Linked DNA regions of Arabidopsis thaliana. The protein of the gene in region 1 interacts with the protein of each later gene in a pairwise test. Each region holds a gene or a part of one and is shown in the gene's direction. Other genes may lie near its edges.

Region 1 (3,763 bases):
ACTGTATTACAAAATTGAATGTGTAAGATATAAATTTATTTTTTCTTTTTCTTTTCTAGATATTAAATTAAATATAGAATGATGATCGGTTACTTTTTAGAATTCAAATATCATTCATAAGATTGAGTGTGTATAATTAAAATAGAATGGATAAGACTGAAATTTTGTTTAAACCAATAATTATTAAATTAAATATCAAGAAAAATATATTGATTATTATACAAATTTCTATCGATAAAACTTAATTTTTGTATCTTAGACCCGCCTAAATAGCAGATGCTGAATTTAAGAGAATAAAAAAGTTAAATTTTTGTATCTTAATTTTTATATAATAAGATTCTATTTTTTTTAAGAGAATAAAAAAATTAAATTTTGAATGACAAATGTAAACATCTGATCGTTTGACTTGACACGTGGCACGATTCTATGAGTTAGTAACTTAATTAGCATATGTAAATTTGTTTACTTTTTAAGATTTTCTATTTTTTTAAGAGAATAAAAAAGTTAAATTTTAAATGACACATGTAAACATCTGATCGTTTGACTTGACACGTGGACACGATCCTATGAGTTAGAAACTTTGAAAACCATACTTTATATAATAAGATAAGATTTTTAAGACTCTAAATATTTGTTTATAGTTTAAGTATACACTAATGCATCACAATGTCACATTAACGTATTTAACTTTACACAACACGTAGGTACGTGGACTTAGTAATGAAAACGGATATACTTTCAATATGTTATAGCAAAAACTAATCTTCCAAGTCCATTAAGACAAAAAATCAACTAATGGCAGTAAAGTTACAGATCAATCATGAGATATGGAATTTCAGATGGAACTTCTTTTAATTTGATACACTTTGAGTCTTTGACGATGGATGGACTTGGTCAGCAGAAACCTTTTTTTACGATCTTGTATTGAATTATGAATGTATGTGTCATCTCACTTTTCTCTGTAATAGTTTATGGTTCATTTCATACAATCATACTGTAACTTTCTAAGATATCATGGAATTTTGTTTACATCTTTAAATGTTAGAAATTAATTAGAATGTCAAAATACAGTTGAACTTATTTAGTTAGCTCATCCTGATTTTGTACTATATTTTATAATTGAGATTTGGTATCTAATATTTGTGCTATAACTGCTAGTCTGCTATGCTATATATTTCATATTTAAATCTGGTAGACTATCTGAAGATGTTGAACACAAACAAAATAAATGATACAAAAACGGTTGTCGTCAATAGAATAACAAGTTATACAAGAAATGGTTTGTTGCTACCAAAATAGAAATCAATGTAATAGTACATTTTGCAGATAGATATTGAAAAAGAACCTTAACAAAGTTAATACTTGGAAAAGGTACAGTTTATTTCTATCCTAATAATATAATTATTTAGTAAACCACTAGATTTAAATAACTAATCAACTTGGTTAAACTAAAATAAACCCAAAGTTGATTTGGTCAGCATTTGACCTATAGTAAACACCACCACTTATACACTCTGAAACGATATATTCTTAATGAAGACCAAAGACTTTCTCAACTTTGAATCTTTTTCCTATTTGTTTAATAGTTTGCTCACTTGGTCAAATTTTCAAACATATCTTTTAAAACCTTTAAATTCCAAAAGAACACGCTTCGTTTTAGTACATTCTCATCATTCAAATACCAAAAATCTCACATCTTTTTCCTAAACCACAATCACATGTTCTTAATCTAAACCTTACTATAAAAAAGTTAAAAAGCTATCACATCTCTTCACCTTCAATGTCAAAAGTTTTTCCAAAAAATTCATAACTATTTCTTCCGGTCACCGTAAACCGGGGTTTTACCGCCTTTCGAATTTACTCAAGACACTAAAAGTAACATGGAAATGATGAATTGGGAGCGGAGGAGTTTGCTAAACGAGCTAATTCATGGACTAAAAGCGGCCAAGCAGCTTCAGGGTTCGTCTTCTCCATCGTTGTCAGCTTCTTCTTCATATTTGACGACGGAGATAAAGGAGAATCTCTTACATAACATAGTTTCTTCCTTCAAAAAAGCTATTTTGATGCTCAACGGATCCACCACACAACACAATCCAACGATAGAGCTTGCGCCTGATCCCCTAGCTCATCCCGGAAAGGTTCCAGGATCTCCAGCATCGATCACCGGAAATCCGAGAAGCGAAGAGTTTTTCAATGTAAGATCGAAAGAATTCAACTTAAGTTCTAAAAAGAGGTAAAAATTTGAACTTAAATTAGCGTTATAAAGAAGAGAAAAGCTTATTAAAATTTAATAATAATAATAATAATATTAGAATTCAAAAAAAATAGCCAGATTTTTTGAATTAGAGATTTGACAATTAATGAAAATTTGCAGGAAGATGTTGCCAAAGTGGACAGAGCAAGTGAGAATTAGCCCAGAGAGAGGCTTAGAAGGACCTCATGACGATATCTTCAGCTGGAGAAAATATGGCCAGAAAGACATTTTGGGCGCCAAATTCCCAAGGTACATCATCATACTCTATCATCATCATCATAATCATCATGTTTACGAATAGTACATTTGTTAAAAGATTGGTTAATAGCAGCGGATAAATGTTGAGTATAATTATATGAGTAATATATACCTAAAATTACTATTCAAAGTGTATTCTCATATTAAAAACTATTTTGCATAATTTAAATATCGAATATGTAATGAATAATTCTGAATATAATACAAGATAAATTAGATATTTAAAATTATTATCCGAGTTTGCTATATGAAGGTCGGATTTGTATATAATCAGATAGTTTTTTTTGGCTAAATTTACGTGGCTTTAAGAAGAAGAAAAAATTAGTTTTAGTTTTACTAATTTAGGACTAATTTGTGTTTTTATTGCAGGAGTTATTACAGATGCACATTTCGTAACACACAGTACTGTTGGGCTACGAAACAAGTCCAAAGATCGGACGGTGATCCAACGATCTTCGAAGTAACATACAGAGGAACACACACTTGTTCACAGGGGATCCCACTTCCAGAGAAACGAGAAACCAAACCAAAACACACAGTAGCAGTAAATTACCAGAATCTCAGGGCCAGTCTTACCGTACGTACCGGCGGACTTGGAAGCGAAGCTTTCTCATTCCCCGTCACGTCGCCGTTATACACTTACGAGTCCATCAACGGTGGTGGAACGTTTTACCACCACGTGGGAAGTTCTGGTCCGTCGGATTTCACTGGATTGATCTCAACAAATACTTCCACAGGAAGTTCTCCAATCTTCGACGTTAATTTTCAATTTGATCCAACGGCTGAGATTAACACAGGCTTCCCCACTTTTTTCCACAATTCGATTTAAGTAGTACAGTATTGAATATTCTTGAGATTAATATAATCCCGATTAGCGCCTAGCGATTTAAGTAGCAGAGTCATTTTGCATAAGTAGAGATGTTCAATATGAGCAAACTTGAACATTCTCTAATTTTTCTTTCTCTACGACGAAGTCTTGGTCTTATTGTACTCTTCCACTTCTTTCTTGTAAGCTTCCATTAACTCAGCAGCTTTGCTATTGTAAACTTGTTTCTCCTCTTCACCAAGTTCCTACAACAAAATTGTAACCAAAACCAACTCAATTTCACAACTAACAGTGATAAAATCTTACTCGTTGGATTCGAGTTTCATGATTTATAATATACCATCCATTTCAATGAAATGTGAGCAGTAACAGTTGAGTTGTTGATCCCAGGATGTTCTTCTAACACACTCTTTCTTGCGTCTTTG
Region 2 (3,184 bases), on another chromosome or scaffold:
TATTTCTGGAAACCCGGACTTCTACTCAGACATGGGCGCATATGTGACTTGTATGAATCAGACTCATTCTTTTGTATAACAAAAAAAAAACCTCTTTTATCTTTATAATTTGTTACTACTCATTTTTTCTTCGTTTTACTGGTTAGAAGACCTTGGGAATTTTTCAGTTATAGAGGTAAGAGTTTTAAGGCTACCAAATTCAGATACAAAACACCTTATATTCCTTGACATTATAAGTCTTTAAACAAATAAGTGCTACTAATCTATCTTTCATTGTTTGTTTTGTTTTTGTTTGGACAAGTATCCTGTTGCTCCGTGGACTATGGAAGCTGTCCTAGAGTATATAAAGCAGAGCTATGACAATCCTCCTGTCTACATTCTTGAGAATGGTCAATCTCTTCTATGATTAATTTATTCGTCTCTCCCTCATGTTTTTGATTTGGACTTAAAATGTCATATACAAACAGGTACACCGATGACGCAACACAAGGATACACATAGGGTGGAATACATGAATGCTTACATTGGTGGTGTGCTCAAATCCATAAGGTAAGTAAAGTTTTTTTATTGCATCTTTTCTTCTCTTATCTTGTTCGTGTAATTAAGGAAAAGGACATTGCTACGTGTAGGAATGGATCAGACACTAGAGGCTATTTTGTATGGTCATTTATGGATTTATTCGAGCTTATAGGGCGGTACGATTATGGTTATGGATTGTACTCTGTAAATTTCAGTGATCCACATCGCAAGAGATCTCCTAGACTCTCTGCTCATTGGTACTCTGATTTTCTCAAGGGCAAAACTTCTTTTCTTGATTCCAAAGGCATCAAGGAATTGCAGAGCAACTTCTCTTCTTCCTCTTAGTACTGTGATGAAATAACTCTTATGTTCTACTGAATTTAGACTACTTGTCATGAGAGCCACTTCTTTTTTTCTATAAATTCTAAATTAAACTAGTTTAGTAACTTTACACGACAAAATAATGAGAAATCACAGATGCTGAATACAAGAATTGCCCGTTTTTAAATGCTAAAAAGAAATTCGTACCCAGGCCTAAGCATGACATCAAGTTCAAGCTAGCATTGTATCAAAAAACCATATTACAGAACCATACAAACACTTGAATAGTTAGTAACTCTTAGCAAAGTTGTTTTTTACACAAAAGCATGCTAATCCGCATCAAAAAAGAGACACAAAAGAGCAGCTTCAAATTCATATACCATCCATTGTTAAGGCTGCATTTCCACATTAAAAAGAACAAAAGCGCAGCTTCCTACCTACATGTGAAAATCATAACAAAGACTGATCAGAAACTTAAGTATGTAAGTACTAAGCTAACAATCTAAACTCTAAAGCAAAATAGTTATACAAAAAAAAAAAACTCATTAATTTACCTGTTTGTCCCCCGTTTGGTTATGTTGATAAAGTTGGGATATTTTTTTCTTCAAAAAAAAAAGATTTCTACATCAAAATTTAAGAAACGACATTATTCTTACTGATCTTTAAGATCCGATAAAAGGAAAAAAAAAAACTTTATTCTTAACAAAAAAATGAGAAACAAGGATCAATTTTTCAAATATCATATAATTATCTTTTTTCTTTCTTATTCTCAATTAATAAATGTAATGTTGAATTTTGAGAATAATTTATAGTTAAAGATAAGTATATAACTTAGTAAAATATATCCTTCTACATAATCAGTTTGTTAAAAAAAAATCTACAAATTAGAAACTCCATCTAAATACGAGCTTCACAGATTGTTTCACAGAGAAAACAAAACTTTGGCTTCCTTCTCTCCTTGGTTCGTGTAAGTTGAATGTTTTTTTTTATTTTAAATTCGTGTTTCTTCTCTTCCGTTTTGCGAAGTTGATAATTTTGTTATAATCTTATATGAATATTTTTCAGGAAACATGGCTCAAGTTTGTCACACATGTAGACATGTAACAGCCGTGATCCATTGTGTTACAGAAGCTCTTAACTTCTGCCTTACATGTGACAACCTTCGCCATCATAATAACATACATGCAGAACACGTACGTTACCAACTTTGCGATAACTGCTCGATGTATCCGTCTATACTTTTCTGTTATGAGGACGGGATGGTTCTTTGTCAATCATGTTATTCGCACCATTACAATTGTGCCACTAATGGCCATCAAACTCAAGTCGTCTTCGCTAACATGAATAATCAACACCATGATCATGCACATATGCCTCATGTGGTTCACCATAACAATAACAATAATCATCAGCAGCAGCATGTGGGTGGTCACCAAAGAAGAGCAGAGATGTTTGAGAGGAGCTGCCACGGGGATAACAATTGCGAGAGATGGATGTTTGCAATGAGATGTGAGTTATGCGTAGCTTCGAATTCAAATGCTGTTGTTTATTGTCCTACACACAACCAGATTCTATGCGATAGTTGCGACCGGATGATTCACAGTCACGAGGACGCGGTGCCGCCGCATTCGAGGTGTAAGCTTTGCGTAATCTGCAAGAGACCTTCTCGCCGTTTTCTCATTGGCGGCTATCAGTTTAATTTCCCACCGGTTCATCCTCCTGCGGCAGAGGGGATTCCAGTTACGCCCCCAACAGAACTACCTCAACAAGATATTAATTATGATTATCTAGATGATGTTGATGATTTTTCTTGGTTTGGTAGGTGAATAGAAAATCGTCTTCTTTAGCTTTTTATTTATGTGTGTTTCTTAGAGTTTTCGTTAGGGGTTTAATTCTTGGTGTTATAATTGCTTCTGGATTTGAAAAAGAAAAGAAGAAGAAAAAAAAAACAATCAGTTGGATTTAATATGTTAGAAGAAAATAAAATGTCAAAACTAACTCCAATTTGTTCGAGGATGGAAGATATCATATCTTGATGTATGTATATCTCATCATTTAACTAGAAACTATCTAGAAACCACAATTACCGAAAAAACATAAAACAATTTTGCTAAAATGTTAAGAACACAAATTAATTTGATTAACAATCGATGCTTAAGGGGTTTATAGGAATTAAATAATATTTTTTTTTCAACAATAAAATTAAATTTCACTTTGCGATTTTAATTTTATTTAAGAAAGTCAAGAACCAACTCCAATATTTCCGGGGATGTGATTTTCTCAATAAAATCGTCTAATTATCTTGATTTTTGATGTTGTTGTTGTACTTTACGTGAATATCTCA
Region 3 (3,763 bases), on another chromosome or scaffold:
ATACGTTTTTAAGGATTATAATTCCATTGACTTCAGAGTGTGTGTTCAATGATTTTTTGTTTGTGAGTTTTTTGTCGGTATGTAACAATTATTGTTTTCATATTGGCAAATACATACACCGAAAATACATTAATTAAAATAAGGTTACGTAATTATTCAAACAAAAAATAGTTATAAATTATTGTCACACACTTTTCTTTTCTTTTACTAGATTACAGAAAAAATTGGTATTCACTTGCATGATCAGAACGCTGTTTCACATATTATTAAAGAGGATCGAGAATGTTCGGTAATGTCGGGGGTAATTTGGTAAATCAAAGGATGGGAGGCGTAAAGAATCTGGGGACTTGGGACCAACGGAGATTTGAGAGCGATCGAGATAAGGACCAGACAGTGTTCGAACACGTGATCATCACGTGACTGTTTCCCGCATCGCCGGAACTTATATCCAGACTTGGCATCTTTGGGCCTACTATGAATTTGACAACTTTGACTAATCTTTCCCCATACATATAACTTAGCTGCATATACACGTAACTGTAAGTTGTATATATTTTGAGTAATTTCAAGTACAACGATTTTTTTTATATAAAATAATTCACATTCAATTTTATTTATGTAACAAAGGGATATAAAAATGGGCCCATGTCATCAAGAATCAAGTACTAACTTCGTTTATTGTTCATATGTTTTACGTCAATTCTTTTTGACTGGCTATCATTGTAGCCCAATGCTCTATGGGCCCATAATGGATTTTAATCATTGTATGCTATATTCAATGTGTTTTTTGAGCCCGTTAATATTTCTATTAAGCCCAACAGCCAATACCCAATAGTGGTAGTAGAAAAATACAGTAATACACGATCGAGCGAAATACTAATTTTTGTACTAACAATTTCAGTGTCTTTCTTTATTGATCTACAAAGTGCTCACCAACAATATTAGCATTTTAAAACTATTGTAAATTTAATCTTTCAAAAAAATAAAATTTGTTAGTTGGAACTCACTTTAACAATTAATTTTCTTATATAAACGTATTATTAGAATTTCTTTCTAATTGACTCCTTGACATTGTAGCCCAAGACCATTGCTTCCTATATCTACTTGAATAGTACTTGTCAAAATGCACAGTGCACGAAACGAATTGTCCTTTCACACCCGTCTTGGCATATAAAGTTCTTATTATAAGTGTGATTGGCCCACTCAAGATCGTCTCTACCTTAGCTTATCATATATAATGACAAGGGTAAGAGATAAGAGTGATTAACAATAAATATCTTCTCTAATCAAAGTATCCAACTAATTTAGCTTATCATATATAATGGCATATCAACTCTTATGGTCGAAAATGTTGTATTTGTCGTGGTGTTTAAATCAACGACGCCAAATCCCTAGGTTATATGTCTTCTAGTCCCTGTTAATATCTCAAGGCAAAGGAATCCTCCCCCAACATTGGATTTGATGTGCCCACCTAATCATATATTCTTTGGTCGAATATCTCCTCAAATTTTTGTCTTATACAAGCAAAATATATATAGCCACGGGGCGTGGTAACTACGTCAACAACAAATTAGAAAATCATTAGTTTAAAGATATGAAAAATAGTGAAACCTTTTTTAAAAAAAAATAGTGAAACTTACACACTGAGTTTAGACTGTTTATAAGCAATTTTTTGTGTTTTTTTCCTCCAGTAATTATCTAAACTGGTACGAACTAACAAATATCTATATTATACGAGAACTTGGAGGAAAAAACCACGTAAGAAAAATGTACAAACTGTTACGAATAATAAAATGTTTTGTCCATATACATAGAGATACCACCATAAATGCAGAAGACTACTATAACCTAAATTTAGCTATTTCAGACATATAAACGCCTATATGAATTAAGACCCAGAGAAACGAAAACGAAAGCACACATGACCAGAAAAAGCTGTACACCTACGGTTTTGTCTCGTTTTGAGGATCAGAACGGTGCGTTTCATATTGATAAGGTACTATCAATATGTCTCGTCTCTTTCTCTTTCTTTGTTTCTTTTGCTATTATTCACAAAAACTCTCTTTCGCATTGATTATTATTCCCATTGCTTGTTTGTCTTCATCTTCTTCCTCCTCTGTTCTTTCAAGGGGATCCAAATATGAACACAACCCAAATTCTAAACCCGACCCGACCCATTTGGCCCAGTTTCTCTTCGTCCAAATCTCTTAGCGGTGATGCTAACTGCATGGAGCAGCTTCTCCTCCATTGCGCAAACGCCATCGAATCAAACGACGCCACGTTGGCTCAACAGATCATTTGGGTGCTCAACAACCTCGCTTCACCCGACGGCGACTCAACTCAACTCAAAGACTCGCTGCCTCTTTCCTCCGCGCGTTAATATCACGCACCGCCTCCAAAAGCCCTGCGTTTGCGTTTCTATCACTGGCTGCTACAGCTTCCATATCCCAGAAAACGCTACACCGGTTCTCCGTCATAGAGCTCGCTGAGTTCGTCGACTTGACGCCATGGCACCGTTTCGGATTCATAGCCGCCAACGCCGCAATCCTCGACGCCGTAGAAGGTTACTCATCCGTTCACATCGTTGACTTAAGTTTGACTCACTGCATGCAAATCCCTACTCTTATAGACTCCATGGCAAACAAACTCCACAAAAAACCGCCTCCGCTTCTCAAACTCACCGTCATTGCTTCCGACGCTGAATTTCATCCGCCGCCGTTGCTCGGAATCTCCTACGAAGAGCTAGGTTCAAAGCTAGTAAACTTCGCAACCACACGTAACGTTGCAATGGAGTTTAGAATCATATCTTCTTCTTACTCCGACGGCCTCTCCTCCCTTATCGAACAACTAAGAATCGACCCATTCGTCTTCAACGAAGCTCTCGTCGTTAACTGCCACATGATGCTTCACTATATCCCCGACGAAATATTAACTTCGAATCTCCGATCAGTTTTCTTGAAAGAACTTCGAGATCTAAACCCAACGATCGTAACCCTTATCGACGAAGACTCGGATTTCACGTCGACTAACTTTATCTCCAGGTTTATCTTTTTTCGGTTCTATTTCAAAATTTAAACCCTAAACACTAATGTTTGACCTGATGAGTAAAATGTGTTTTCAAATGTTCAGGTTACGGTCTCTTTATAACTACATGTGGATTCCTTACGATACCGCCGAGATGTTTTTGACACGTGGTAGCGAGCAAAGACAGTGGTATGAGGCAGATATAAGTTGGAAGATAGATAACGTAGTAGCCAAGGAAGGTGCGGAGAGAGTGGAGAGATTAGAGCCGAAGAGCCGGTGACTTGAGCGGATGAGGGAAGCTAAGTTTACCGGAGTTGGGTTCGGTGAGACGGCGATGACAGAGGTTAAAACAATGCTGGAGGAACACGCCACCGGTTGGGGAATGAAGAAAGATGTTGACGACGATAATGACGTGGAACGTTTTGTGCTGACGTGGAAGGGACATAGCGTTATGTTTGCTTCGGCTTGGGCACCACCAAACTAAATTAATGGGGTTGCTGTGCTTATCATGTCTTAGTTAACCCGACCCCGACCCGTTGTGTCTGAATTGTGCTGACTTGCAAACTCTTTTTATTTAGCAAATCAAGTAACATGATTGGTCCGTTAGCTAAACTCTCCAGCTGTATATAATTTTGCACGTGCCAAGTTGACTAAACGTTGACTCCCTCAATGCAGAAGCTTCTTAAAAAAAAAAAAAAAAAATTTAGAAAATGTGATCTATTCGTCTAAATTTCCTCAA

Evidence for each region.
Region 2: the proteins of WRKY41 (region 1) and BBX26 interact in a two-hybrid assay, tested with the Arabidopsis thaliana proteins (one large-scale study listed by BioGRID).
Region 3: the proteins of WRKY41 (region 1) and AT5G67411 interact in a two-hybrid assay, tested with the Arabidopsis thaliana proteins (one large-scale study listed by BioGRID).

The regions. Positions count from the first base shown.
Region 1 is NC_003075.7:6,757,423-6,761,185, forward strand, and holds WRKY41 (WRKY family transcription factor), read left to right. Parts: upstream 1-1,675; 5' UTR 1,676-1,880; coding exon 1,881-2,233; intron 2,234-2,374; coding exon 2,375-2,503; intron 2,504-2,855; exon of another isoform or gene 2,856-2,881; coding exon 2,882-3,341; 3' UTR 3,342-3,372; downstream 3,373-3,763. Other genes in the region: 3xHMG-box1 (HMG (high mobility group) box protein), read right to left, coding at 3,476-3,583, 3,679-3,763. UniProt on the Arabidopsis thaliana protein: Transcription factor. Interacts specifically with the W box (5'-(T)TGAC[CT]-3'), a frequently occurring elicitor-responsive cis-acting element.
Region 2 is NC_003070.9:22,216,559-22,219,742, reverse strand, and holds BBX26 (B-box zinc finger family protein), read left to right. Parts: upstream 1-1,910; coding exon 1,911-2,666; downstream 2,667-3,184.
Region 3 is NC_003076.8:26,897,942-26,901,704, reverse strand, and holds AT5G67411 (GRAS family transcription factor), read left to right. Parts: upstream 1-1,968; 5' UTR 1,969-2,607; coding exon 2,608-3,041; intron 3,042-3,129; coding exon 3,130-3,304; 3' UTR 3,305-3,628; downstream 3,629-3,763. UniProt on the Arabidopsis thaliana protein: Probable transcription factor involved in plant development.